Struthio camelus: one gene and its partner. The protein of the gene in region 1 purifies or fractionates together with the protein of each later gene. This does not show direct contact. Links are inferred from orthologs where the notes say so. Each region holds a gene or a part of one and is shown on either strand. Other genes may lie near its edges. The genes, in order: CDC42BPB and FAM167A.

Region 1 (15,485 bases):
CAGTATTTCACAAAATAAAACATTACAGTAAAACTCGTATTAAAAGATACGGCCTCATCCTTTAAATAACACGTTAGAACAGATACCACAAAGGGTCCATCACACATATAGCAACAAGCTTTGAACCTCATGCCTTCAGATCACTAACCCTGACTACAACTCTATTAAAGCTAATAAGGCAGTTTTTGCAATTCTTTGACAAAGCAGATAGAGGATGGCAGAACAGGGAACTCCGGCTGACATTCAGCCTCTTGTTCATCAGCTCTCTTCATTACCCAGCTAAGTTCACTTCTTTCTTATGCCCAACAGGCTTATCGCTGACTGCACAGCTTTTCCCTGCACAGAGAAGAAAATATATGACACAAGCTAGCAGAGGATGGGGACGCTTTCTGAGAACATTTCTGCGGGCAGGGGAGGAGGTTGTAAAAGGGGAGGAATTTGAAAATTAACAAACCATGAAGTTAAGAGATAAGGCATTATCAAGTGGCACTTTTTCCTAATGCAACCCAAAAAGGCTACCAACAAAAAAAAAACCCTCATAAACAGCCCTCAAAATCTGACACCACTAAGTTCATCGCAAAAAATAGTTAGGAATGGTTTTTGTCTTCTATACCAGTAACATGCTCAGCCACACACCATGCCTCCACCTTTACCTGTAGGCTTTTATAGTACATCAGCATCTGTGGCAGTCAGAGGACAAGGTCTACTCTGCAGCTAGTTTTGAAGACGCTCTAATGCAGAGCTGGAAAGACCTGTTCTCAGTCACATCTGCACTCAGCATTGACCTTCTGAATGTAACTGATTACAGAGAAAATGTAGGCTCTAAATTCTTCTCAAGGAAAGACCACCCTGCAAGACCCATTTTCATTTGAAACGTTAAGGTGCCTCTTTAAGGAGAAACAGAGGGAGGAGAAAGGTGGTTTGGGGGTAGGCCAACTACTTGCAAAGCTCAGTTAGGGTCCTGTTTTTGCTCCCCCGACAGCAAGCTCTAAAACCTTAAGTATCAGCCCTTACAGTGACCCAAAGTTACTAATTTGTAACTCACTGCATTGAGGCATCACAGCAGCAACTTTTCTGGTGAACTTCCTGTGCAAGATTTTTCCATCTGTCACCCAGTCTCAAATGTAATAGGTATATCCCCAAAAGCGGTAGTGTGAGGCTAGGCCAGAGAGGTTGTTGCGAGTGCTCTGCACATTTTTCTCTCCTCTAGCCCCGAGCGGGAATATGTTGCTGCTACCACTACAGCATCCACTGTCTATTATGCCAGGCTGTCTCCAAGGGTCTGGCAGCAGGTGCCCAGCTGGCCTATCCATGCCATTCACTGGCAATCTTCTTCCTCTTCCCCAGAGCTTCAGGCCCCCAACAGTAAGTTCCTCTCACAAAAAACCAGAACACCAGCCCAGCTGAGTAGCAGACTTAGACAAACTGAGAATATAGAAGAAAAGTTATGAGTCATCTGTTTGAACGCTAGCTTACCTGGAGGAATTGTCCACAGAAGTATCCCGTGCACCTACCTCAAGGAAAAATCACTACATTTCAGATCAGCCCAAACTAGTCTGACATTGGCTTTGAGGTGTTCTCACAGAGAAGACCAGCCATCATATAGTCCCAAGAGTGAGACAACAGTGAAGCAACTATGTGGGGACACGTGCCATCTTGCCCTCTGCAGCGTGCCAGCGGTACAAAACAGGGTCAGGGGAAACAAAGGCTGGAGCAACAGAGTCTATGCAGCACCAAGAGCATTTTGAACACAAATAAAAGCCCATTCTGGTCAGACTCTTCTCTGAACATTCTTGCATATTAGCCTCGAACAGTGCCAGTAGCTGTTCAAAAATGGAGCAGCCGGTTGTGCCAGTCTCTGCTCACTAGAAGAAAAGGGCAGTAAGCACCAGCTACAGCCAGCAAAAATAGCTCCTGTAAAACAAGGTGATGTCATATGTGCATGCATACGGTGTTAGCCAGCAAGGTGCCCTGTGAGCAGCCATTCTAAGGCTCCAGCACATCTGGCACCAGGTAATAAGAGATTCAGATCATCTGGCATGACTGAACAGGGGGCTCCATTCAGAGGAATGCACTGTATCTGAAAGCCAAAGGAGGGGTGATGCACAGGTGCCTGAGCTGTAGCCGTGCTGGTCAACCATTCGCGTAGTTCTCTTCTCATCACGCCAAACAAGGGTGAGCATACTCCTTTCACAGGCAGAGTCTTTCAGGAGGTGCCTCTGCAGTGCGAAGATCATACCACTCTGCAGTACCCCAGCACTGGCATGCTAGCAAAATCCATCTGATAACTCCAAAGGCCACATACCCTTCCCTGTGCTTGTCTCTTCCAGAGCAGCAGGACAGCTTTATGTAGTATATACTAGTGACCTAGGTCAGCTTTAGATGAGGGAAGTACTGCCACACACTCTGGGACCATGCAGATTGTTTTACAGGCTCTCTGGTACACCAGAAGGGCTAGGCAGTCCCAACAGCTCCCAAGATTGCAGCTAGATTGCTCTCCTGACAGCCCTAGTGGGCCAGAAGGGCCAGCAGAGATGGCCAAGGAGTCTCGCTTCAAAGGCACAAGGGCTGTAGCAGCCCAGTTTCAGTGATAACTTTCAGAGAGCAATGAGAAAGTATAAATAGAACAGGACTGTGAGGATTCTTTATTCTATTTCTCACTCTAGGAGCAGCATATGTAGCAACAGTCTAGAGAACACTAAGCACAGAGTTGGCAAATTCTTTCTGAACATGGAAGACTAGGGTTACATGCAAGTCTGCTATGCAAGAGAGTTGGATTCAATTCCCACTAAGAATACTGAGCATTATTTCAATATCTGTTATATAAGCAACATAATGATAATCTGTTGGATGAGACCTTATTCAGTAAGGATTATAAATAAAAGCAAACTGGAAGAAAAGGACTTTTGAATTCCTAACTTGCAGCTCAGCTAGCCCTTCTCCAAAGATACTTGGATAAAAAAAAGTTTATTTTACTTCCAGTACAGGGAAAACGTAGTACATTTGAGAGCTCCATTCACCATGACAGAGCTACAATTGCCAAGGTTAAAATGGCAGATCCTTACATTTCTAAGGAGATGGCAGTCACAGGCTGCCTCGAGGAAAATGGCCACACCCTACACTCTTCTATGGTTAGGGAATAGTTTGGAAGAAATAAGCCTGTGGCAGGACTGTCAGGAAGCAGTAGCTATGTTTACAGGACAGAAGCTATGAGATCCACTGTTCCTGGCTCACCAATCTCTGCCGGTGAAGCACAAAGCTTCTACAGAGGTTCTGTGACTCGGAGAAGCTGTCCTAAGTGTCACAGGGTAACGTGGGACTTAATTTCCCACTCCTTGATTCCCCTCCTGCTCCACAATATAAGTGCTAGTGTGCTGGTCTCAGCGAGCAAATATCCACATCCAACAGCTATACTCGTTAACTCAACATCTCTTCTGCATCTGCATTCCCACAACCGGGAAAAACCTCTGCCTCATCCACCATGCCTGAACTCTACTTTCCCTTGTCAATTAGGAATGCCAACAATTCCATTAGCCACGCTTAACCATTTTAAGGGAAGTTTGTGTACGAGATACCTCACACCCAATGGTAAATCCAAAATGATAAAGAAATGCTAATTATGTTAAGGTTAAATTAAGCTGAGTTATACGTAGTTTATTTCCATTGTCAGTGATAAGTCTCCGTTTTGTCAAAAGGAAATTCTTTTTGTCTCCAGTTGATAAAGAAACATGCTGATCTTCAAAGTATAGCCCAAATATTTAACTGCAATCTCATGCCGCCACAGACACTTAGCAGCACAAGAAACTTGTGCACATCAATCCAGAATATCTTCTAACAGAGAAACAGACTGTAATTAAGACTGCACATCATGACATGAGGACGATTAGCATGTTTGGCATGGTATTTCCCTTACTAGCTGGAGGCAGAAACTAGTTCCTTGTCAGTGGAAACATACTGTGAGGGCATTAGGACACAGATAAAAGGTGTCTTGTTGTTGGCATTTATTTGTTTTTAACAGCTTGCAGGAAAGGGAGGAATGCACACTATCAACTTCAGTTTCTTTTAAGGGGATTCCTTGTTGATGGAACATAAATATACAGCAGTCCAGACTTAGGCCCATCCCCTTACCATGAAGGGCCTGGATTATAAACTTTTATCCCTACTCTACAGCACCAGATGGTAGCTCACATACATTTAAATTATTTATTGAATAGGCACTTTGTTATATTAGGGTAATCCCACGTTGCAGTAAGAACTACACACTATTTTTACTGCTAGCTATACTCTTCATCAAGTCAGTAACCTTTTCATATTCAGTGAACACACTAAACAGAATTAAAAGAAGTAATTTTATAAACAATTGGATAATCTGCCTCTCCATCACACAGAAGATGACAACATGGGGATCACTCTGTAAAACATAGCCACCAACAGTGCTATAGAAAAAATATATCATCCTTGGGCCTGCCTCAAATCCTTCCCTCAGCTTCAGGACTTAGAAGTACGATCCTGGTCTGATATGTAGCATTTAAGAGTTTGTAGCTGCTTGCTCATTCAAGCCAGCAAATTGAGAATAAGAGTATAAAACCAGATTGCACTTTGCAGAAGATGTACAAAGCTCCCACAACAAAACAAATAATCAATGTTCCCCTGCCTGCAGCCTTTCAGGGCAGATGTGATAAAGTGGTTAATTATTCAGTTGGCAATCGCATTACTGACGTCAATAGAAGAGTCCAGGAAGTGAATCCTCTTAGTTTGTTAGCGTATGACAAAGAGTGGTGGTCCCCACAGAAATTAAGGAGAACCAGCTGTCCCTATGTTTTAGGGCAGTAGTCTGTACCGCTAAAGACACACATTTGCATTTACTGAAGTAAAATGGCCACTCCCCCTCCCTTAGGAAGTCTTTTGTTTTGTTTTTTGAGAGAGATCTTTAAAAGCCTAATTAACTGTACGTGCATGGAACAGCTGATAAATGGGACAATATACTTGTGAGCAATGATCTCTCTCTCTCTCCACCCTTCCCTCCAATTCTTATTCCATGGAGAAGATAAGTCACCTTCACCATAAAGTATTATTCATAACCTACTGAGCTGAATAAACCTGTCAGCCACCATGACCACTTTAACACAGATTCATTTAGGCATACACCAGAGATAGATCTCTGCTATCCACATACCCGTACTCAATAGTTTTAACTAACGCGACAGGATAGAAAACTTTTATCCCAAGTACAATCACAAGGATACGTTTTTTTGTTGGGTTGGTTGTTTTTTTTTTTGTCAGCATGCTCTGACTATTGGAAGTTTCTCATTATCAGGTTGCTTAATGCTATGAAACCATTAAACAAAGCTGTTACAAAGGCTGCCTAGAACTACTCTGTCCTTCGGGGGTCTGCCCAGACTAAAAAGAATACATGGTGCACAGTAACTGTTTTCCCTCGAAGACACGCACACCCTCTCAACTAACAGCAACAAATCTGGCACAAGAGCTGTATTCATAGTCTGAGCCTTCGGCTTTCCCCCTCCTCCCCTCCCCCAGGTAGGAAACACTGAGGAGGCGCTGGATTAGCCTGACGTTCCGGGTTAAGCCGAGCAGGCTTTCAGGCCAAGGACACTTCGGTGCTGTTCCTGTTCCCGGCTGCCAAGCGGCCCGCTTGGGACCGAAGCGGCGCTGGGAGGGGACGGCAGGGGTCAGGCCCGGCTGGCGGCGGCTCCGCGTCCCGGGGCGGCGGCTCCGCACCCCGCCCGGCCGCCGGCGGCCACGGGCAGCGCACGCCCGGGGCCGGGCCGCCCTGCCCTGCCCTGCTCTCGCTGCCCCGCGCCCGGAGAGCACAAACCCTCCCCACCGGGGGGGGGGGCGGCCCTCCCCTCCCACCGGCCCGGCGCCGGCCCCCGCCGCGGCTCACCCCACTCGAGGAAGTCGGAGACGTATCGGTCGCGGCGCAGCGGCGAGTCGCGGCTGCACTCGGCGTAGACGCCGACCAGGAGGTCGAGCAGGGTCTCCACGCTGAGCACGCTGTCGTGCCGCTGCGGCCCGTCCAGCACCAGCTGCTCCAGCCGCTTCAGCCGCACCTTGGCCGACATGGTGCCGCGGCGGCGGCGGCGGCGGCGGGGGGGGGGGGGGGGGGGGGAGGCCGGGCCGGGTCGGGCCGGGCCGGGTCGGGCGGCGGCGAAGCCGGCGGACACAGGCGGGAGGCCGCGCTCAGCCGCGCCGCGCCCCGCGCCGCCTCTCGCCCCTCACGGCCGCGCCGCGGCCGAGCGGCTCCTTCCACGGGCTCCGCCTCGGGCCCGGCCGGTCCATGGACCGGACCCGGCCTCGCGCTCCGGCCCTCTCAGCGAGCACCCGGCGGCGGCTCCGCTCCCGCCCCTCCTCCCGGCGAGGGCCCCGCAGCGGCGGCGGCGGCTCCGCGCGTCTCGCAGGCGGCACCGAGCGGCCCCGGCCGGAGCCCGCGCCCCGCCCACCACGCAGCGTCCGCGCGCACCGACGTGGGCAGGGCTGCGCGCAGCCAGCGCGAGGAAGATTGGGGCCAGCCCCGCGCCGTAGTTGGGGGCGGGGAGAGAGCGGGCGTGTGGCACAGCAGGGCGCGGCGCGGCTGCCGCCTCCTCGGAACCGGCTCGGCAGATTCGCCTCCCTGAGGCGGGGCCGGCAGGGAGGAACGGCTGTGGGTTCCCCCTCGGCACTTTCGCCGCTTGGCGGGGGCAGGCCGCAACCTGCGCGTTCGCCTCGGCAGATTCGTGCTTGCATCCCCCCACACCCCCACTTTATGGCCGGTGTCAAGAGGGCTGGAGGCGAAGTGGACCCCCCCCAACAAACCCCAGAGTGCTGCCTCCAGCTGCTCACTCCAGCCCAGCTCTCACGAGCCGTGGCCTCCCCCACCCTCCCTCCGCTTCCCCCGTGGGCTGTGGCCCGCCATGGTTCTGGGCCTCCGCAGGCCGGTCACTGTGCCAGGCCGCAGCCCCTCAGCTCCGGGTGGGCTCCCATGGGCGCCACCCAGGGCTCCCTGCGGGCCTTTGCTCCTTCGCTGGGATCTGCCCCTCGGGCCTCGATGGGCAGCACGCGCTCGGGGCACGTGGAGCCGCCAGCAGAGCCAGCCTCAGACTTGGGGTGGGGGGGGCCTCCAGGCGGCAGCTGGAGTAGGCCCTTCCCCTGCGCTAACTCCTTGCTCTACTGCTTAACTTGTCTTGGGGGGCCCCTGGCAGTAGTTGCAGAGAGGCTGGCAGGATAGGCAAGGCACCACAGTAGGAAACAGTGCCTCTGAAAGCCGTGGCTTTACGCACCCTTCAAAACCAACCTGACTTGCATTAGGAGTAGCAGCTAATCGAGACACATGGAGCTCTTTGTGTTAACAGCTGCTGTCTACGCTCACTTGAAGGTGAAGGGAGCTTGGTGTAAGACACTCAAAACTTTCTGCAGTGCCTTTTTATGGCATTACAATTTATTCTGAGAACTGTTTTCTCTGGAGATCGTGGCACCTCAAGGCAAGATACTCAATAGCTTGATGGGAGTTTACATCTCTAGGAATGCAGCCAGTCAGGTCCTGATGCAAAACTAAACAGGGAAGGAAGCCTTTTCCTTGCTCGTCTCCCCTTGTGATTAGATAGAGCACTGTACGCTGAAAATCATCACGCCACAAAGAGCGGCCGCTCAGAGCCAGTTCTGTCACTGTCAGGAATGTCCAAGAACTAGAGTTGGACAGAGGTTTGCATGCTGGTAGTTGTAGTTATCAGGGACCATGGGTCCTTCACGGTCAGAGGTAACATGTCAGTAATTGTTGAAATACCTGAATGTTCTCAACTGTGACCTTTAGGGCCAGTGGCTAGGCCAAACCCAACCAGTGCTGCCTACTGGGAGCTGCCCTTTTCAAGTAGTCAGGAGCACAACTAGACAGAATGAGATGGAGTAATGTGCAGCAGAAAGTACTGCTTCCGATATGACACAGAGCATGACGGAGAGGTCCAACACAGCATTACAGAAAAACTTCTTTCTAGGAGCCCTTGCCCCTCAGGCAGTTCTGATATCTCTCCGTCTGATATTTCACCTGACATAGAAATATCTGTTCTGTCTGAGAGCTATTCAGGTCATAATAAGACTGTGTGCTGTGCATTTGGCATTTGGACTCACTACCTGAATCAAGAAGGTATAGGCATGTTGGGACCTGTTAATTCTAAAAACCGCAATTTGATAGAAGGTCCTATGAATCATACTTTTATACCAAGAACCTATAATTTTTAAACAAAGAAAAGCCACAATGGACTGAAATAGCTTTTTTCTTCCTAAATGACTTCTATCCCTTTGTACTTCCTTCTTCCGCAAATAACTGCTTCGAAAAATATTTCACAGCACATACAGGGGTTGTCTTTATTCTCCCTCTATGATCCTCCCTGCTTATAGTTGGTTCGTCTTACCTCAAACTGCTTGATACTGATACATTCATCTGCAGGACCCTTAGCATTTTAACAATTGCAATTGTTTTTCTGGTACTGCTTCTTTATATAAAAGGAGAGCTTGATGTTTTCCACTTATTACTGCTTTGGAGACTCAATTTCAGAAAGAGTTGACCAGATTAATGGCTAAGGAGAGCAGAGTTTTAAAGATCCTGATACAGTATCTGTCTTTTCCCTTCTTATCTGTTCCTGCAGATGGTGATTATCACAACCTCCTTCAGCAAGGAAGAGATGATAAAGGAAACTGCAGCTGGAAGAAGAAGTAACAGTTTTCTGCCTACCATTCGCTCTAATGCTTCCAATCTGGCTAGTCTATTCTACACTAGGAGAATTCAGGTATTTCAAGAACCATTCCTGACTTACAGCAGTCGCAGTGAAGAATCAGGTCCTGTGTTGGGAAAATGACGGATGGATGACAGATGATACTGAGACCTGCTTTAACAACTATGGAAGGTTTGGCATATCAGACCAGCACATGCAAGATTATTTATTAGTGATACTGTAGGTGTTCCAGAATTAATTGGAAGATTTCAAAAATATTGCAAAGACTTAAAAGTCATGTACGCTGCTAGTAATGCTGGGGTTTGAGATCAAGGTTTACAGTTGCAAAAAACCTTACCTCACTGAAAAGTGACATCCCGAGTACATATTAAAAAACATATGTAAGCTTGAAAATGTAACTTAAGGTATTCTGCTTCTGTTACGTGTGCCTACTCCCTATACTAAAAATAAATGTGATTTGGCTAAAATGGGTTAAATGATCCATCTTACCAGTTCCTTTTTCCTGCGACATATTTCAGTGGAAAAATACAGCCCCTTTTCCTGATTTTACAAAACTCTCTTTTTATGAGACCAAATGTAAGCAAAAGGGTTCTCACTTATATTTTCTGGAATCATTATAGACTTGCAGAACTGAAGACATGAAGTCCATATGGCTAGGAAAAGTTCTTTCAGATCCAATCATCTCAGGTCTCTCTTTTTTTGTTTTTGGCTGTACTCCAGGTAACTTAGTAACTAGGAAAGGAAGAAATTCTGTTATAGAATTTCGATGGCAACAGGAAATAGCTGTGTCACTGCTTTATGACTTCAGGAAAATCCACCCACAGATCACTATTGGATTGAGAAGAATAAAGAAATAGGAAAGAGTATGGACAGAAATTGCAAACAGCCCATTGACAGTGGAAACCTTCATGCTAAAAAAAGAGTGAAGAAGATTTTGCAAATATCTATTTTGTCATAGGCAGACAGGTAATTCTAGAAAAGGAAGAAAAACCTTTTTTAAGGATTTACAACCCAAAATATAGGTAAGTTGAAATCAGAGAAAGCTCCTAGTAATGAGTTCCAAAGGTAGAATATAAGAAAGAGCTAAACATGCCTCAGAACAACAGGACTGGTTTATTTCTTGCTATTATCATATTTCTTTCCTTGAATTATTTTTTAGGAAACTCTCACCTTTTCAGCGCTGTCTGTTTTTGCCAATATTCTAAAAAATTCCCTCTTGCCAAAAGCAGTATAAATCTACAACTGTTGCCCATATTGGAAGCCAAAAATAGTTTGTCAGTGGTGGATGTCTCTGATAACATTGCATCATGTGAGCTTGAGCATTGAGCTAACCTACTCAATATTGAAAACAACAGCAGCATCTAAGTCACTATCGGAGACCATGTGATGATAGCAATGATGGGAATTGCATAGAAAATTTCCCAGGGAAGACAAAAACTCTGCTCTTTTGGTAGGACAACGGATGCTAGAGCTCTGTTTCAGCTTCCAGAAAGCTCTGTCTGCTTCAGTTCACTGCTATTGCACTGTTTTAGCAAGAAGATTTCACAAATGTTCTTGACCTTGCACATGATGATGAGTGAAGTAGGAGTAAAGAAAGGGAAGCTGCTCATGGAAAAGTGCTGGGAAGGGCTGAGAGTCTGTTCATTTCCAATTTTCACTAAAATGCTTTCTCATAACAAGAATAATAAAAAAAAAGACAAGCAAAGCCATTTGGCAGGCTACCTTCTGTTAAGTGCATTCTGCTATTAAGTGCATTTGTTGGCAGGGCTTCTATTCCTGTAACTATCTAGAATTTAGCGATAGTATAACCTAACATTTTGAACTGCAAGTGAGGCAGACTATAATAAGAAAAGAGTTTTCACTTGGTACATGCTTTCTTAAACGGAAAAAACAAAGAAGCAAAAAAATCAGTAGATTTATTAGTAGAGACTTTTAAGACACTTCTGACTGGTTTGTTTCATAGCATCTTTGCCAGCAGAGGCAAAGAAACATGCTAATCCCTCACTTCTTCCAGCCTAGATGCGTCAGGTTCCCAAGCACGTTTTTTCCCCCCAATAATTTGTCTTATGAACACTGTTCTTTTCCTCAATAATTTATGCCTCTTTAAAGTCCACCTGAAAGAAAGAAACTTGCCTCCTTGCTGCTGTTTCAGGAAACCTTCAGTCTTATTGATCGGTATGTTCCCTGATTGCAGGCAGTCTAATACATGGAGCCCAATATGGATCACATCAAATTAGCTTGCTTCCCATTCCATTCACACGTTGAGAGTAGCATTAACTGAAGTGGGCAGCTGCTTCTATCAAAATCGGTATGGGGCCACTTGTTCTTTTTTCCTGAATTTGTCTGAAAATGACTGAAGTGTCAGGGAACTGAGGTTTCGGATGAGGTCATTGCTGTGGACATCTGGAACAGAATGTCATTGCCATATTTAGGCAACACAACAGCTCAATTTATTTCAGATCTGATTTCAAGTCCACAGTATCCCCAGGAAGGCACTGGCTCAGTGATGCAGTCTGTTTAGGCACATGATAATGCTAAAAGACTGGCAAAACAAAACGAAAAGAACTTAGACACATGCTACTTCAGGGATCTTCAGAGGAGGTGGAAGCAGTGGTACAGAGACCAAATACTTGTCGACAATTATGACATCTTGCAGTAGCTGTAGCATGTCCTGCTGTCTATAGCTGCCATTTTCTCATTTAATAGTATTATGTTATTGCAAGTTCACATCTGCCAGACTCAGTTAGATCAATCTTTGTACAAAGTGTGAAAAGCAGTGTGTTGCTAGAGGGGATTTTTTGCGCCTGAGTTGATGCTGTACTAAGATTATCTATTTTGTTTTCTGTGTGTGCTTTTTTTTTTTGCTAGATTCTCTCGTGCTCTGGTTCAGCCAACCTGAAGGTAGTACCGTTTGCTGCAGAGAATAAGAAGAGTTTTAGCTGATATATGTAAAAATAGATAGAAAATGTGTTTTTTTTTTCTTAGCTAATATTTAGAATTAGTTCTCTTGGGTTGCTGAGAGTAGCAGTGTTATTCATATTGCATTTTATATTAATACTGCATTTTACTACTATTTTTATGTCTTGGGAGAAATGACTGGAGATGAAAATAAAACTTCTCCAGTCTTTTCTCCTGAACCTTTAAAAATCTGTCACTGACTTTAATAGGAGTGTTCCCATGGAGATAAGCACAACTAAATCTACCTATGAGGAAAAGAACTAGCCTGCTTGGAATGAAATATTTTTGCATTTAAAGTAACGTTACTTTAATGCATACTTCATTCTTCTCTGACAAAGTGTTCTTTGATTTTCAAAGATGTATAATCAAAATAAAAATCAAGTGCTATTGTATTTTTTTCCCTGGTTCCCTCTCCACAATGGAGAATCCATTGATAATCAGTTTCTGGTAATGAGAAGTTGAAATCAGAAAATATCCCAATCTATTTCTGCATAAATAGCATTCCGGAAAATGCAGTTGTACACTGGCCAAAAAGCAGCAGGAATTACTGTGCAAAAACCACTTTTATTTGTTCAGTAATGGTGACCTAGCAAACTGTCTATGGCTGTTAATGGTACTTATCTCTGTTATGAATTGCCAGGCACTGTTCAGAAAAGCAGCAGTGTGACCAAAATGGCTTTCATTTGTTCACAGTATCCTGGGACACTGGCAAAAATAACTGTACCAACTTCAGCATCAAATATACTGAAAGGCTGCTGCTGATCATTCTCACTATTCAGGAACATCTTTTGTTTGATGCAGCCTCTTTGGAAACAAGGTGATTTTTCTGACAATGTGTAAAAAAGACATTTTACTCCTACTCATTTGCACGGAACAAAGATTTCACCCAAGATTGAGGCTGATCTTAGCCGCAGCATTACAAATCCAGAGGCACTCAGTCTGGATTTTCGCAAATGCTACTATCTTTGTCTTCCGGCTTATCCAGTCTCAGCAAAGCTGTGCAGAAACCCTCTGTCTCACACATTAAGCCAACGATCACCAAGATCCATAACAATATTGACAGCGATTCAGAGGAGACCCACACTTCTCAGCACTGAAGGGGAGTGTGAATGCTGCCCCTGCCTGACTCCCGTCCTCACAGCAGCCGCCAGCCCTCCAGCCCGTGGGAAACATTCAGTCCCCCTCTGCCCCATGTTCCCTGCCTGGGGGCTGGCTTCCCTATTGTTCTGCACATGGACTCCCTCCTCTTCAGGGCTAGCAATGGTAGCAGTCCTCTGGTAGCAGACGCTGTAGGAGTGGGCAGTAGGTGCTAGTGGGACTTTTCAGGGGTGTGTGGAGATCATGCTCCCTGCAGAAATCAAGGGGAAGTGGAGATGAAAGACCAGGGAGGCCCTCCAAGGCCTTGGCGTGAGCCCGCTGATCGGAGACAGAGGTTGAATGGTGGCTGGTGATGCTCTTGGGACTGTGTTCACCCCTTGGAAAGAGCAGCAGCAAGCTTTGCTCTTCAGTTTCAGTGAAGAAAAAGGAAAAGGCAGCTGCTAGTCCTGCATGGGCCTCAAGCTGGCTTTGTAGTCATCAGACCTCAACCATTCCTGACAATAAAATGCCATCTGCAGTTCCCACTTATCTATCTTGTTTTCTTTTTAGCCGCCCTGCAAAGAACACCGCAAAAACTGATCCCTGCACTTTAGAACAACTTGAAGTTCTGAAAATTAAATTTGCGATGAGCTACGTCACTGTGACTTGGATTTTGCAAAAAAGACTACAAAATGCAAAAGTCTGTCTGTTTTGAGTGTGGGTGCAAGTCCTATTAACATGGTGAGGGGAAAGACTGTGTTTACTGGTGTGTGTGACAAAGTCAAAGACACCTTTCATTGCATCACACATATTTTATCAAAGCCCTGTTTTCAGCAAGAAAGACCTGATACTGATTATGACAACTGCCCTCCCTCACAGTACCGATAGGCAATAACCTCTGGGAAGAAGTACGCCAGCAAGCAAGGGCCATGGGAGGAACAGCAAGGAGGGATTGCCCGAGCAGGCATGAGTTCAGAGAGCTCCTTCTCCCTTGTGAAATATAAGGGCAGACATATAATGTAAGCGGAGGCAGCTGGCATGATTATTACTTGTTGTTCTGAGTCTGTCAGCTGTGATGGGGGAACAGGGACTTTTCTAAGTGCAAAAATGATGACTCTTCAGCGGCCATTGCCACAGGCTGAGTGCTCAGGCTGGGCAACCCAGAAGAGCATGAAGTCGTGGTTGCTTTTTCTGAGAGAAGGATTAATGGTTAATTGGATGCTGCTTCTGTTCCTGACATTAAGCAGGAGGGGGAGCAGATCCTGAGCTACAATAAACTGTCATAGCTTCATTGAAGTCAATAGCAAATTGCAGAGACTTGGTGTGTCAATAGCTAAACTCCCCAGGGCTGGTCTTCAGCTGGGAGAAATTGTCATAACTTCATTGAAATCCACTGATGTCCAGCTGTCCCTGAGATTTTGCTATTGATTTTGCTGGGAGTAGGACAAGAACTAAATTTAATTTTATGATGGCCTAAGAACAGGATACATTGTTTCAAAGCAGCCATCATTACTGCTATTAATTGGTGCCTGTCCTGGGCAAGGCTGTCTCTTTCAGTCATTAAAATGCTGCTTGCCAATCTATGCTTTGCCCTGTGGATGTGAAAATCTGCACTGACATAATATATGTAAAGCAGAAAGGTTTTGACTATTTCAGGTTTCATTTAGGTGTGTAGCCTATGGTTGCCTCAGGTAACGCTGAGGTACTACTTAATCATGATAACATGATTAAGATGCAAATTCACATGCCTAATTTAAATGAATTTTTGCTCTGAACCATACAGCTGCATGTAGTTTCTAAGAGCAAATGCAAAGTAGTCACAGCAGGCTTCAGCTCAAGCAGAATCTCGGGGACCGCTTCCAAACAGAATTGCTCATTGTCATAGCAGAAAGTTGAGGTCACCTTTTCAAAAGTGCTGGGAGTCCAGGCGCTACACAAGATCCTCACTAACTGTATTAGCCCCAGCCAGTCATCGTCTTGGGGGGAAACAGGCTTTGTACAGGAGTGGAGGGCATCTCACCCCTGGAGCCAAGCCTCGGTTAGAGAACCAGCTGAGGCATCGCTCAGCAGGACCGGTAGAGCCTCTCCTCTGAACATAATGATGAAGAGTGCACAAAGCTAACCAATGGATCTTCATTGCCAGACGTGTCCATCCACCTACCTTACCACAAAACTGTGTGTCTGGACTGCTACTGTTGAGAAAGCCTCCTTGAGGAACAGCCACCACTGAGCAACACGATATGCAGCCCTCCTTGCAGGAGCCCGCTGGAGCCCTCAGCAAAACACAACTCTCATGTTTGTGCTGCTCTAGGTTAAACTCAGATGTCTTGCAGGTTAATGCCTTTTCCTGTTCTGCCTGGGTCTCCTCCTAGCTACCGTGTTTCCCCTTGAGAATAACTCCTGAGGCTTCAATGAATGATTACTTCATTTTCACTACCTTGGGGCAGGGCTGTGTGCCTCATTCATCACAAAGTATGAACTATAATCATGTTTTAATGGCCCTTTCTAGCTATTGTATGACCATGCAGAAGGGCTTGTTTGTTCCCATGGGCACAGAGCTAAGCCTCCATTAGTTTTGCCTGCAGATTCCTTCACATGACATGCTGAAGGAGAGTGGCCAGGTTAAGGAGCAATACACTTGTCCTTTATACTGGGGACTGGGCATATGGCTGATATCCCTTTCCTATAAAAACCATGATCGGTAAGAAATTCAAATACACCTTT
Region 2 (14,946 bases), on another chromosome or scaffold:
GAACATAAGCTTTTCAGGAAGCAGCATTGTTTGCTGGGTGCTGGGCTGGAGCAGCACAGTCACAACCTGTTAAATTCAAACAAGGCTAAGGGCACTCGGCAGTCTGGAGGTTCACATATTGGATAGCAAGCAGTCTAGAAGAGGAAAGAAAAAAAGGAGGAAGAAACACTCAGGATCAAGGCTGGAGGAAAAAAGCAGAATAAAACAGCTAGCCAAGACAGAAGTGCAGAGAGAAAATTATTCCTCTCCCTTCACTATTCCTAATGGATATCAGCTTATTCTAACACCATTTCTTTCTGCAAAAGAGCAGCAGTGATTTTAAGAGTTCCTATTATTCTGCTCATCTATTCTTCGAGAAGAAAAAAGAGCCTCAGTATGTAACAAAGACCATCCTGAGGGAATTTCTTTTGACAGCTGAAGGGGTGCCTGTGTAGCCCATGGATGACACTTACCCCAGAATGTGATAAACAGGGTAGTGGTCATAGTCTGGCCTATTAATGACCTTCAAAAAAACACTTTAGCCCCTCCTATGCCTCAATTTCCCTCTCACTAAATGGGCAGTTCATGCAGCTGGCCTTTGGAAAAAAACTCTGAGGATCTTCAGAGACTAACAGAAACCAACCTCCTGTGTTTTCAGGTGTCTCCATCTCATCTGGGTGTCTACGCTCCAAGTATAATCAGTGCAGAGATATCCCGTATTATCCATGGAGTCTGGGACATGGTTCATCTGATAGTCTGCAGGCATTTACTACAGGGTTTGCATTTGTGTTGCCTCATGGGCCGTGCAGACACCCCTTGATCCTACAAATGGAAAACCTAAAGTAAACTGCACCTGCTCACAACATCCTCTAGCTCTTCAGGTTCTTCCACGTTTGTGGGGCAGGTTAAGGGGACCAACTGGGATGGAGACATCTGACGACCTTCAGCCTCAGGTCCTTTTGAGTGAGGAAGACCCTGCGGCTGAAACAGCAGCCCAAAGAAATAATGAGGTGGAGCCGAGAGATGGGGGACTGGCACGGTGCAGTGTGTGTATGCCTAGTGTGGCGAGAGTAGAGTTTGCCTTCCTTCCAGAAGCCTAAGAGATGGGGATAGTGGAGATGGCTGACTCTTGTGGGGTAACAGAGTAGGGAATAATCAGGTACCTGGATATACTCTCCAGCAGCAGCAGGTGAACAACTGGTGATTCAACTCCCTTTTCACAAGCAAGAGTGGCCAGTCCAGGTGCACATTTGACTTAGAGGTATAAAGAGGGGACAGCGACGGGTATTCAGCCTATCTCCTTCTCCCCGGCGCTGCCTTACTGCTTAACCAGTGCTGGCTTGGCTGCACAAGCATCATGCCGAGGGCAGCTGGGAGCCAGGACCCTGCAGGTCTGCAGCAGGTTGGCAGAGGGCAGGGAGGAGGAGACGCCTTTGCAAGGGGGTTGCCATAGCAATGGAGTAGGGAGGGCTCCAGATCCACCACTGCCTCCTCGGCTGCTGCACACAGCGAGGTGGGGCTCCAGAGCATCCTCCGGGCAGCAGCAATGCCGAGGCCCTGGGGACCTGAACAAGGTAAGGAGATAGCCAGGCCAGGCCCACACATCGGGTCTCTGGAGCCGGTGGCTTCCATGCAAGGATGCTGCTTTTGAATAGTTCCTTTCCCCACACCAAAATGACCTCCCTGAGGAGGTGAGCGGTTACGCAGTGTGGACTCTGGTGCGTTTAGGGCTACTCGATCCATTTCTGTAGCACCTGAAATATGCTCCTGCAGAAAACTGATCTGGTTCCCAAATGCCCTTCTTGCTTGTCCTTAAGTGACTTTCAGCCTCCCTCCCCACAAAAGGAGACGATGCCAGAAAAACTGGTCACTCCAGGAGCCTGATCCTGAAGCCAGGACTCCTTCCAGAACAGAAGCCCCTGATGAAATCATTGCCCTCAGGATCAGATGCTCTCAGCCTGGTCAGCACAGCACAGGGACGGGACAGACAGGGATGCTCATGGCATCAGCTGTGGGCAGCCAAATCCTGAATCCAACTTGGAGTTTGGTCTTGCCTTCACCTGCCCAGGGAAGCAGGTGCCCAGGGAAGTGCCCTTGCTAAGCACTCATGCTGAGGAGAGTGCCCTCATATTCGTGTTGTCCCCTTCCCATCATCCATCATGTTCCCAAACCTCACTTGGGAAGGACATTTTGGAGGTCTCCACCAACAAACTGCCTAGGCCTGATCCCCCTGTGCCAGCAGAGGGAGGACTGGGAACCTTCTGGCAGGGATGAGGATCCAGGGGGAAGCCAATGAGGGGTATGCGGGAGCAAGGGGGGCTGTGGAAGATCATGGGAGAGTCCTCTGCTCAGCACTGGTGCCTGCTGGCCTGTCTCTGGCCACCTCTGAGCCATCTTCAGCTGCATTTGAGCCTTGGCCCTTCTTCTAGGGGCAAGACAAACACACCTAAGTCAGGCCCCGTAAGCATGAGTAAAGTGAAATGCAGGTTCTGATCTAGCGACTCTGCCTTCAGGCCTCCTTGAGGGCTACTAGGCTAGCTGTGTCCCTTCACAAATAGACAGACCTGACTTCCAGCCTCATACATTAAAAAAGCCCAGGGGGAGACCCGAGTGCTGTCTCTCTGTGTCCGTGCAGTGCAGTTTTGGTGCAAGCCAACTAACACTAACCCAAATAAGCAGGTTGAATGTAGGCACCCTGCTCAGGAGAGTGAGAGAATTTCTTGCTACCGACCCAGTCAGCAACACTATTTAGCCGGGGCCAGACCACGGCAGGGACCGTGCTAACATTTGGGTAGTAGAGCTGACCAAATGCCCATGCCCAAGTCCTGGCAGTGTTGTATTTACTAGTATTAGACATATGTAGAGACAGCTTCCAAACTGACCTTAAGTGGCCTCGCTGTGAGCTGAGTTTCCGTCCCTGTGTTGATCCACAATGTGAGGCCCTGGGGCTGGTTTTATGAGGTGGTTACATCATAGCCCTGAGTGTTGAGACACTGATAAAGCACCTAATTTAATGGGATCCTGAGTGCAGCTGGCTATTGCTGTAAATCTATTGTCATGAATAAAACCCAAGGACCTCCCAGACAACTCAGATGCTAAGGTGAGCAGCGGGGACACACTTCTAGGTTGCACCATTCCCAGATTCACGGGGACGAGGGGGAAGAAGTGGGGCTTTCCATTCATGTATGACCTGTAGTAGGTGAGGCTACCCCCTGCCCAGCACTTCTTTCTGCCCATACTGCCCCTGGAAAAAACACAAAAACCCAACCAACGCAAGGAAGAGAGCAGGGGTGAGCAGTGGGGGGACTGCATCCAGTCTATCTGACTGACGAGAAGCACAGCGGAGGTGCGAAGAGGCATCGGGAGGAAGGTGAGGGGACTGTCCCTGTCCTGCAGACACAGTCTGCAGCTGTGACACCCCTCCTCAACCCTGCTGAAGTGGACAACGGTCCATGGCCACACTGGCATTGCGCCGTGCAGCCCCTGTTCTCCCCAAGAGCCTGGGGAGGCAGAGCAGGCTGCGAATGCAGAGAGGCCCCGAGGACAAAAAAGGCAGAGTTTGCTCAAGCAGCTCTCAGAGCACGTGTCCTGTCCCCTCAAGGGTCAGAGACCACCCTGGGCCAGACCTAGGCACACGCAGGCCCTGTGACTCCAGATGCTGACGGCAGCAGCGATTAGTTTGTGCTCCTTGCCCTAAGTTATTTTTTCCACACTGGTCTCAATCCTCAGTGATAGTGTCAGAACCTGATTCGATAAATATATCTGTCCCTTCCTGCCTAGCTACAGCTGATCCCTGCCGCCTCTGCCACACAAAACCCGAGCAGGCTCCATCAAGGAAACAGACTGAGATTGGTGTCTGCTTCTGATGGACCCTGACAGCTTCACTTTCACACTCGTCCAGCTCTCCTCAGTCAGCAGATTTCCAGCAGTCGGATGGAAATCCAGACTGAAGATGACCCAGGCACTGCCAGATTTTTGGCATTCCTACAAGGCAGTCCTCCAGCGAGTGGGAAACGTTGGCAAACTGGGAGATATCGCAGCAGCTGGGGATTCTGCCCAGCCTTTGTCTACGAAGAGAGGGGCAGCACTGACTCTCAGCCCATCGTCCGAAAAAAGGGATAATTATCTTAAGAGGAAAGCAATTAAACAGCAGCAGAACTGGCCAGTTGACACCTTCTTGGTGAAGAGACCCTATCCATGCTAGCCATCTTCTGGCAAGGCCGGTTGAAGCACAGCAAGAGTCAGGGACTGGGAGCAGGGGTTGCTTTTCCGTACGCTGCCCCAGGGTCCCAGCAGGTCTTGGGAGCTAATCGTGTAGAGGGCAGGCCTAACCTGCCCCCCAAAATGCCCCTGAAGGACCTGTGATTTGTCAGAGCCACTTCCTTCCCCTCTTTTCCCTGCTGCCACCCCAAACGTAGCTGTGTTTTACCAGCGGAAAGAGCAGGCAGAGCAGGCAGTCAGACCTCTGTACCAGTGCCACCAGGGTAATTCAAAGGGCTGTGACTCCTTGGGAATGAGCCAGATTAGGCTGAGAAATGCTCTCTTCCCAGGAGACTGCCACATGGAGTTATTTTTCCCTAAATGCAGCATGAAAGGCAGCAGGCTGAAGGGTATATTTTAGGAGAAAAATACTTTCTGGCTTTGCTAGGCTTCATTCTGCCAGCGCTGAGCCCCCTCAAGCCCATGCAGCATCAGGGGCCAGTGCCCACTTGAGGCCCCCAGGCTTCAAGTTAAAGTGATCAGGGGACGGGGGTCAGCCCCCTGGCGATCCCCTAATCCCCTTTACACGCTCCCTGTCCCATCCAATTACTCGCTTTAGCAGCTGCCCGGGTGCTAATCGTCCAAGCACTGTACTCAGACCTGCCTTCTCCCAGGTGCTTGCAATGCTGATGTGACTTACGCTTTTTTATTACTTATTTTATCCAATACGAGCTACTAGCAAGCAGACCCCCAATCCCTCCCCCTGCAAAAGGCCAAATTACTATGAGGCTGATTTGTTCTTTCTGCAGTGCCTCTCTGCTAGATTTTGCAAACACCTAATGGCTGCGGAGCTGTTACAAGCCCAGAGCACGGGAGAAGCCAGATTCCTCCCTTTTTGTTTTTTTTTTTTTTTGTGTCGTACAGATCCTCCTGAAGAGGTAACATTGCAATGGGCATTTGAAAGTGGAGGAGATCTGAAACGCAAATAAAAGCGACAGGACCAGCATGTCGAAATGACGGCTGGTAGGGAGGAGACCCACAACAGCCAGAATGAGCTCGTTCCCCCTGAAAAGTGGCAAATCCATAAGATACTGGGAATGAGCAGACAAAGCTGTGGTAATGTGGCACCAGCCAGACACAGCTGCCCTCGTTGGAAAAAGACACTGGGTTTTCATTTGTTTCACGCCCCCCCCCCCACCCCCCGCAACAAGGTACCTAACGCAGAAAAGCTCAGAAGGGCAGAACAGTGCCGAATACTACTGGGAGCATCACAGAAAAATAGGGAGAGGTCTCCTTAGCCCTGCGCCAGTGGGAACTGTGGGAGAGGTGTCCCCGTCTGGATTCGAAAGGGTGCGGGCTGAACGGTGTGCTTTTGTGCAAGTGCAATGTCTCGTGCAAGGGGGGGTGCGTTGCACAAGGTGCACTGGCTGGGGTTGCACAAGTGTGTGCACAGGGAGGGGTGTGGGCTGACAGTGTTATTTTAGTAATCAGCCCCAAGCTGTTATAAAGGGCTCTGAAGAAGTTCTGGATGTTTTGGTTTTTTTTTTCCCCCTCAGTGCTAGCATGAGCTGCAAGGGCCAGACCTGAGCGGGTGGAAACCTGCTCTGCTCAAACACACAGTGCCTGTTTCAAAAATTGAAGGCAGCTACGCCCTGCAAGGCCACCATGCTTTATCCCATTATGTCTGCTTTGAACAAGCCAATGAACCCTTCTAGGGCTCCCGCTCATCTTGGAGAGGGGGCAGAGGGAGCAACAGGTGAATGTCCCCAACCAGGGCCAGACTCTGCCTCGTTACACCCCAGCTAGTGCAGAAAAATTCCCCTGAAGGTGGTGAGGTAGCCCTACACCTCTCAGCTGAGAGCACTGCCAGGGAGATCACATCCTGCCCAGATTCCCAGCCCGTCCCCATCAGCGGTATGCCACAGTGTGGGACATCTTGAGGGAAGGCAGGAGATTGTGACTAGGAGGACAATGAAACCCCCAGCCCTAACGCATAGGAAGAGGCATGGCCAAGCCCGGTACTGAACTTCGCAGGGCAGGGGGTCCCCATCGCCTCCATCCAGGTGCTCCCCAGGGACCAGGTCCTTCCTGCTACCAGTTTCCACTAGACTAGAAAAGCTTGGTGTCCCTCCCCTGCCGAGATGGCTCTCAGACAGCTCTCGTCCTGGATTCACCCACGCGTCCCCACTAGGCTGTGCTTCACCCCAGACCCAGCATGGCTGAGCCAATGCGAGAAACAAACTTACCGGGGACCGAGTCACAGGGAATATTCCACGGACATCTTGACTCGCTGCTTCGTCTTCGAGTCTCCAACTTGGTATTTGCAAAGCAGTGTCACCAGTGCCTCCAGGAGACTGTCTCATCCTTGTCTCTGTCTCGCTTCAGAAATCTCTCTGTGTGTGTTTTTTTATTTAAGAGACTTTTTTTTTCCCCCAGCGGTTGCGTCAGGCCTGTTGCCTGGAGACAAGCGAGCTATTCCAGTTTGAGCTTTTCAGTCCAGATTTCCTGTCTCTCTTTCATTCATGCCATCAAGCCCTGAACCTACCTCCCACCAAGCAATAACCCTGAAGAGACCTGAAAGGGAGGAGCCGTGCAGCCTGGGTCCTAAACATCCTCCGACTCAGCTGCCTTGCGGGATCCCGAGGAGGGAGAAAGGGTAGAGATGCCCTCACCACCGTGACTACCCAGGCTGAGGGGGTGCTCTCCACCGACATCGATGGCAGGGACTCAAAGGCTCACTGGAGGTGCCCCCAGAGTGCCGAGAAATCCATGGCTTTTGTAGGAAAGGCTCCTCCCGGAGTGAGCTGAGCTAGCATCCATGCGGCTGTCCCTGCTGCACGCAATGGATAGTTGTGAGCTGTTCTCCGAAAAAAAAGCGCAGGGACCTCTGGCACCGGGGAGAGCTTTTGGCTAATGTTTTACAGACACTACAGCTCGCCAAAAGGTCAGCGTTTGCATGCAGGGCAGGGAGCGATGGGGGTGTTTTTGCAAGGATGGATGAGCATCTCCAGCAAGGTGTTCAAAGCTCTGGGCTGGCAGGTGAGTATCAAGGGGTAGCCAGGGAGAAGCCAGCCTGTCAAAATAGTGTCAAGTGTTTTCACGCATGGAAAGCAGCCTTTGACTGTCTTTTGGAAAGTGCCTGTTGCTCCCACATCTCCCCAGGGTGGCTAGAAACCATTTTGGCTGCTTCTGAGGAGGGACCAATACAGCCACATGTCCCAGCAGGTTGCTGACTATGGGCCCTACTTCTAACCCCCACTCTCAGGGGTTAGAGTGGGTTTCATCCCTTTATCACAGGCTAAAGATTAACCCCTTGAAGCCTGGGGATGGCTCTCAAAATCAGCGCATACATCAGTCCCCAAGTGTGGTTAGTGCACATCTAGCGTACTGAGTCTCAGGGCAACTGGTTGTACTTGTGAACTGAGTGGTGCCAAGGGTTAAATGTTGGCTATCAGTCCTTCCACACCCATTTCCACATTAAGCTTTTGTGAGAGATGATACCCATATACTGCCTCCTTTTTTTAACGCACCCTTTCTCCTGCCTAAATTGTCCCTCCTCTCCTCCATGGGCAGCAGAGAGAGATTTCCAACCTTCTGAGTTCAGGATCTCAACAAGGGCCTTGCAACACCCTGTGGAGGGCCAGGATTTCCAAAGCCACCTGGAACAGGAGAGACCTCCTTTCAAATGGCAGCAAGACTGGTGGTTTCCCAGAGCACCCCAGTGATGTGGAGACTTTGTACAGCACCTAGCTCAGCAGGAAATGGGCGGCCTGAGAGATGCAGGAATGCAAAGTTAGAAGAATGAAGAGTAGTGTTTACAGTCGTTCATATTTCTGATGCAAATGTGTTTTTTTTTTCCGCTTGGACAGCACCCTTTTTGTGGGGGGGGGGGAAAAAAAAAAGAGTCCATCAAAGGACTACTAAGATGATTAAGGGACCGGAGCATCTTTTCTATGAGGAGAGGCTGAAAGAGCTGGGCCTGCTCAGCCTGGAGAAGAGAAGGCTCAGGGGGATCTGATCAATGTGTGTAAGTATCTGAAGGGAGGGTGTCGAGAGGATGGGGCCAGACTCTTCTCCGTGATGCCCAGTGACAGGACAAGAGGTAACAGGCACAAACTGCAACACAGGAAGTTCTGTCTGAACATGAGGAAAAACGTCTTTCCAGTGAGAGTGACCGAGCACTGGCACAGGTTGTCCAGAGAGGTGGTGGAGTCTCTTTCCCTGGAGATATTCAAAACCCGTCTGGATGTGATCCTGGGAAATATGCTCTAGAGGACCTTGCCTGAGCAGGGGGGGTTGGACTAGACGATCTCCAGAGGTCCCTTCCAACCTCAACCATTCTGTGATTCTATGATTCTGTGAAATTTCAGATATTCATATGCAAACTCATTCTGCTGATTAGCTCTCAGAAAGCTGTGTTGCAGGCAGTTGTCTGAAGGCTTTCACCTGCCCTTCCCAGGGCTAGTGGTGGTTAAGATGGAATAAGGAGATGGAAGAGCTGTTCCTTCATATTAAAACCTTCTAATGCAGACCTATAGCTGCATTTAAGCTCTTAATGGTAAGTGCATGGTTCAGCATTTCCTGCGACATCTCATCAAACCACAGACTGGGTCCATGCCAATGAACCAAAGTGTCAGTGAACGGGTATAGGCATGGGAACCTGGTGAAACACAATCCCTGGCCTGGTTTTGACCCTGGCCAAACAGTCCCTGGGCATGGTTCAGGAGTTTGCAAGGCAAGACCACATTCCCAACAGACAGTTTTGGATGCAGCCATCCTGTTTTGATAGCTGAGAGTGTTTTATAGCACGGATGTGGCCAGACAGGGCTAGCTGGCCTCAGGGCCAGAGACCAGGCCTGGCACAGATTAGTTTACTAGCAGAGGTGTTGCTACCAAGGCTGGACATCTATATCATCACAGCAACAGACCACACACTGTCACCCTCTTCCTCTTCTGTAAATGTTTATTTTTAATTTAATTGTGTAATGGGTTTCGAATGAGCTGCCAAAAGACACTAATGAAAGGCTGCAGTCAAGTTTCTCTGAAGTCTCTCCTTCCACCAAAATGCACTTAGACACAAGTCTTGAACCCCAGTTGCCTGCAATAAACACCAGAAATTAGGTGTGATGAGTCCATAGCCACGTCTCTCTGCTGCTCGGTGCCCCCTTCATCCAACAAAAACCCACATGGGCTCAGCACTGAGTGATATTTTAGGGGAGGAAACGCTGTCAGCAAACTGGGCGTTTCTCGGTGCTGCTGCTGGTGCCCCAGCAGTGCAGATGTGAATTTCCCACAATGCCTCCAGTGAGTAAAAATAAACCTAGGTGATGCTAAAGCAGTCCCTACCCGGACGCTTGATTTTTTCTCCTTGACTTGGAAACAGAGAGACCTTTCTGATGTATTCAGACCTGGAAAAGCTGCCAGATCCGGGAACTAAGTTCCTCAGCATCCCTGGGCAGAGCACTTTTTCCAGACTACGCTTCAATCCTTGGGAGCACTTTCATACAAGCCTGGATCCTTGCTAGGCTGTGATTTGCAAATCTCAGGTTGGGAATTCCCTGCTGCAGATCCCAGACTCTCCTGGGAACCTAAATCTCCCATGCCATAGGAGCTTGGAGCAGCACTGGATGCTGTTAAGTCAGATGTGCTGGCAAAACCTACCTGCCTTATCTCTCTCTAGCTAAATCTCATCTGGACACTCTAAACTACCTCCACATCACCACAGAGAAATGGGCAGCTCCGGAGGGCCATTCCTTTTGCATAATTACAGTGGTTCAGTGCAGCTTGGATTTAAAGTATCTGCTCCTTGCCCGGGCTCCTGACTTTGGGGTGATTTTTCCTTGTACACATCCTACTCGTGATGCCTGGAGGAGCTGGCCTTCTCAGCAGGGGAGTGTGGCCATCTCATGGTACTGCCTGCTGGAAGCATCTTGGAGGAGCATCGATGGTCACTTCATCTAGTCACTGAATAAATGCCTTTTCCCTAAGGCAAAGTCCATGGAGATCAGCCTGCCTGGGCACTGCTGTCTCCAACATGGGGAAAAGGCTACTGTGCCTTTCCGGCTGACCATGTCCATCCTAGCTGGGTGCAACCTCCACTCCCTGCACAGGGACATGCATAGGGAAAGTCTGAGATGGCCTGAGGGTCACCTGGCTGCGAGTTAACCTGGAAATGTGACAGAGATACCTACAGAGGGCAGCAGGTCTCTAGTTAATGCTGTCGCTATCGACGGTCACTGCAAGGGCCCAGATGCAAGTATAGATGCATGCAGAGGGTTATGGTCACCTGGCTGTTCGTCTTCCTGGATCACTGAGGGACTCTGAGAGACTTGGAGAGTCCCAGGGCAAAGGAAGTTACGAAGTGGTGTAGTCATAGCTTTGTTTTGTCATCCTCCTGGAGATGCAGGGCAGCATGAAGGCTTCACTGGGGATGTCCAGACACTAAGGGGCTTGTGAGTTGTTACAGCTCCAGTTTAGACAGGAGTAATTTCTGTCACAATAAAGGCACGGCTTCCAAAAGGAAGGTGGTGAGGGTTCTCTGTTCAAGACCGGAAAGGGCTCTAGCCTTGTATTCCCTCCTTCTGAAACCGGTAAGACTTGTTGCTGGTGTTTGCAGGACTAAAACTTTACCATTTGCATTGCTGGGAGATTAGGAGTGGGCCGTGGGAGGCTGGGGGATGTGAGCATAATGCCTTCAAAGGAGCATTTCCATGGCAAGAAGCATTATTTTGACAGAAGGCCCAGTCTAGCTGTGCTGGACAAAGCAGCCGCACGCCCCCAGATATTTGCCGTTTGCACCCCACATGCTGTCTCGCTGCAGTTCACCACCCTTGCGGAAAGGGACGGAGCAATGAGCGTGTGTCCACACCGTGGCTGCCTCTGTTTGCAAGATAGCTTGGTCAAAAGTGCCAGCGATGTGGTTTTGTGCTGAAACGTTGGGCTTTGCTCTGAGACTTTCATGTGTCCTTTCACACCCACTCAGCCGCGAGGTGATATTGCGTGTCTGCAGGAAATTGCCAAGAGAGAAGGCAACAGGAGGTGTGTGGAGGTGGGCGGAGGAGTGCAGCGAGGTCTTCAGTGCTCAGCCTCAGAGTATTGGGTGATGCTTTGGTTCCAGCTTCTCCCGCTGTCTGTCCTACTTCTGAGGAGCAGACCCCCACCAGAGGTTCAGGATGGGTTTGTCCCTTCCTTCTCCCTGGCAAATCTATCACCAAAATCCTCCAGTTTGTCCTTGACACCAAAGTCCCCAGGGTTTGGTTTGACATGGCTTTGATGGTCATGTTAGGCCTGTCCCTTGTCCCTGTCCCACACACCCAAGGGCTGTGTGAGGTTGTGTGCTGCAAGTGCAAGGCCGTGCTTCTCCCTCCTGACACTGGCTGCTACTGTGAACAGGGACACCTCATCCATAGCTCAGTGTTTCACTGAGGTCCTTCTGCAGGTCTTCACAGACAGCCTTTGTCCTCATGGTCCTGTTTGGCCTGGGACCTGGCAGTTTTTGGTGGCACAGCCCTGGCCCATGATCTTGGTGCCACCTTGCTCTTTGCAGAGATTGCAGGTCATCTACCATCACCTCCTTGCTGGTATGTGTTGGGGGCAATAAGGAGGGCAGGGCTTTGTCTCATCAAGTCTCTGGCCTTTTCCAGTATTGCTCTGATGTTTAATCTGGACCAGCTTGCTTTAAGCGGTATCTTTTATTGACTGGGCTGGCATAAGGCTTCTGAGCAACACAGACAAAACTGCCCACTGCACGGGCAAGCCCCCTGCCCTAGGGCCAGTGCGTTTGTCCCTGCTCCATTTCTGGATGATGCTGAGCACCCTCCCCTCACTCTGCCACAATGTGTGCATGCCAGGAAGGAGCATGTGTTCTCATTCCCATGCAAAGTGTTGTCCACCCCAGCATCCAGGTGCAGCCTGGAGCATGGTACAGGTTAATTGACACTTACCGGGACTTGGCGCTGTGCAGCCAAGGTTGGGAGGATTTAGGTTGCTGGGAACTTGGAATAATTTGGCAGAAGGTGGTGGGGACTGTTTCAGAGTAAAGCAGGTCCAAGAAAGTGAGAAGCTGGAGTTTTCTGTGTGTGAGTTCCCAGCGTGTAAAGAGAGCTGGAGCAGGCATGCAGGGGAAAGATGGCGGTTTGTGAAGTGCTCCAGAAACCAGGCAAGGGGCTGTAAATATTTCACCACTATTTGGAACAGTTCTTAAACCTCGACCGTCCTCATTCCCTGTTAGCCCCTATATTTCTTTCCCACTGTTTTCGCAGGTTGGTATATTATGATTTCCACCTTTTAGTCCCTTTTCCTTTGGATTTCCAAATCAATCCCATCATTGTTGGTCTATCCACCAGTCCCTCTTCCCAGGTAACTTGGAAACTTTCTGGTAAATTCTGTCTGACTTTGGCAGAGGAAAAGATATTTCAAAGATACAAAGTCTTGAAAAGTTTCACTGGAAGCAACAGCCCAGCAGAGGAGCGAGGAGACCAAGTCCTTTAGAGAAGCTGTACGGTGAGCACAGCGAGGCTTGTTGAACAGCAGAGTATCCACAAGAGAAACAGCCACAGGAAACTAGACTGCCTGAGTCTCACCGTCAAGGAATGACATGGTGTTTTTTGCATCGGGTGTTGCCTGGAGGGAGTAGTGGTATTTTCTCCGTGTGTTTCTTTCAGGCAAGTCATCGCCAAAGACAAAATCAAAGAACTAGTGCCTTTCTGCTTGTCTTAATTAAGCATAAACTTTATCCAAAATCCGGCAGTGATTCCAGTAGTGAACAGTGTCCAATAGGTGACACTCATCAGCTTCCTGGCCTTCAGATGGGCTGGCAAGTCTGAAACTCTGCTGGTGGGTGTGAAGATGAGAGCGGTGGAGCTTCACAGCCCTGCACAGGCTGGAGGCAAAGCTGTACCCCAAAGACCCTTTGTGGGCACCACAACAACCCAGCATGATGAGATCTGAGCTGATCCCTGCCTACAACTCCAGAGGGGCACTGGATGCTCAGCCCAGGCAAAGCTTTTTGCAATATTGCAAGTAGCAAATTGCACAAGGCACAGGCAAGCCAGATCTTAACATACAAGAGATAAAGAGATACTAGGATGTGCTATCAGCAGCACCTCTCATCCCCCGATGCCCTAAATGACATCAGGTGTCTTCTCATTGCTGAAATGCAGCCAGCTCTGAAGCAGAACCTCAACACTCTCTTTAGATTAGATTTTTAGCAGAAACACAACCTCAAATGGAAAGTGAGTAAGATTACAGCACCGTAACCTAGATGATTACAAAAGGGGAAACTGCTCAGACTAGAACCTGGCTGAAGATAAACTCTCCCAAAGGTTAAACGCATCAAATAAATATCTCTCCTTCTGCTATTGGCCCAGAGTGCTGTTAGTTGTGAATGGGCCAGTCCAGAAAAACCAAGGACCCAAATCTCTCCTCCTATTTTCAGACCCGTTGTACACCTTGTGGCTTCAGGTAGTGACTTTCAACCTGCACCAGCCTGAATGGTAGAGATTTAGGACATCGTTTTTACAAGGACAGTACTTTTGACAGCCTGCTGAACCTCTGTGGGTAACGATTCCTCTAAGGTAGCCACCGTTCTAACACTAGCTCTAAATAAGCAGTGTGGTTATACTACCAGCCCTTAATTGCTGTAAGTGTAACAAACCAGTTCAAAGTGTCATTCAGCTGTTGTCGACAGGAAACCACCAACAACAGTCGACCGACAGCACCAAGAAGAATTAGGGTTTCTCTTTCTACATGCTTTAAGGATTAAAACTTATCAAGAAAGCCTTATGTTCTGAGGAGCGTACCTGGCAAAGGATTTTTTAACTCTGGTGGACAACTGGGATCGAGCGTGCTATGATTTAATCTGAACAAAGGAATCACTAGGTAAGTGCAAATGATTTTCTATGAGCTTTGCTTCATTCCTGCTGTCGCTGGTTGTATTTGTTTCTCGGTGCTTCACTGAGTACATTCTCTTAGAGCATTTAAAGATTTGTCTCACTCTGTCCGTTGCCCATGCATCAAAGGTAATTAAACCCTTAAAGATTTGGAGTGCGACGTTCAAGAGAATTAGGCATGTTGCTGACATGGATTAGGGCAGGCGCATTTTTTTCTTTCTTTCTGGCAGAGTGTCTCAATGCTGAAATCAGGGATCTTTCTGAGGTGGGACTGATTTACTCAGATGCCACCATGGTCTAAGTCAGAATCTGACCCGGGGGTCCCTTCTCTTGGGCACAGATAACCTCTTTCTCTTCAAGAGTGAAAGTACATGAAAGCCCTTTAAATAGAAGAGGTGAATAACTTCTAGCTGAATTCCTTTGGGAGAAAAGATAAGGTAAAAACTGAAATCGGGGCCCCAATTCTGAATTTAAAGGGAGGATACTCTGGATCTCAGCAACGCTTGCTGAGTTGACAGCTGCGTATGGTGCAGAGAAGGGCTGAGGCTTTAACTCCCATGCTGCAGAGAAGCACATTTGGCTTTGGAGGTCTTTGTTTCGTTTTGCCCCACAGATGGGCTGGATAGTTTTGGAGCTGTTTATTTAATCTGAGATGATCATTTTGTTCTCAGCCACAGAGAACTTCTTTCAGTCCACCTGATAAAACCAGCAGCAGGTTAATGCTAATAATTGTGGACAAAGCCTCCAGCAAGCTGGAGTAGGAAGAAAGGACTTATTGTTTCTCCCTCAGGGAATTCCTATCCTCAGATGCGCAAAGTCTACATAAACCTCTGTAACTTTCAGTCTTGGTCGTAGTTTAGTCCTGGCTCAAATTTCC

Evidence for each region.
Region 2: the proteins of CDC42BPB (region 1) and FAM167A purify together in Homo sapiens (co-immunoprecipitation; 3 studies listed by BioGRID and IntAct, counting the BioPlex papers as one, with this or other methods). This does not show direct contact. The link is inferred for Struthio camelus from reciprocal best matches to the Homo sapiens genes CDC42BPB and FAM167A.

The regions. Positions count from the first base shown.
Region 1 is NC_090946.1:71,918,299-71,933,783, forward strand, and holds the start of CDC42BPB (serine/threonine-protein kinase MRCK beta), read right to left. Parts: upstream 6,312-15,485; 5' UTR 6,084-6,311; coding exon 5,906-6,083; intron 1-5,905. UniProt on the Homo sapiens protein: Serine/threonine-protein kinase which is an important downstream effector of CDC42 and plays a role in the regulation of cytoskeleton reorganization and cell migration. Regulates actin cytoskeletal reorganization via phosphorylation of PPP1R12C and MYL9/MLC2.
Region 2 is NC_090944.1:10,997,618-11,012,563, forward strand, and holds the start of FAM167A (protein FAM167A), read right to left. Parts: upstream 7,024-14,946; 5' UTR 6,426-7,023; intron 1-6,425.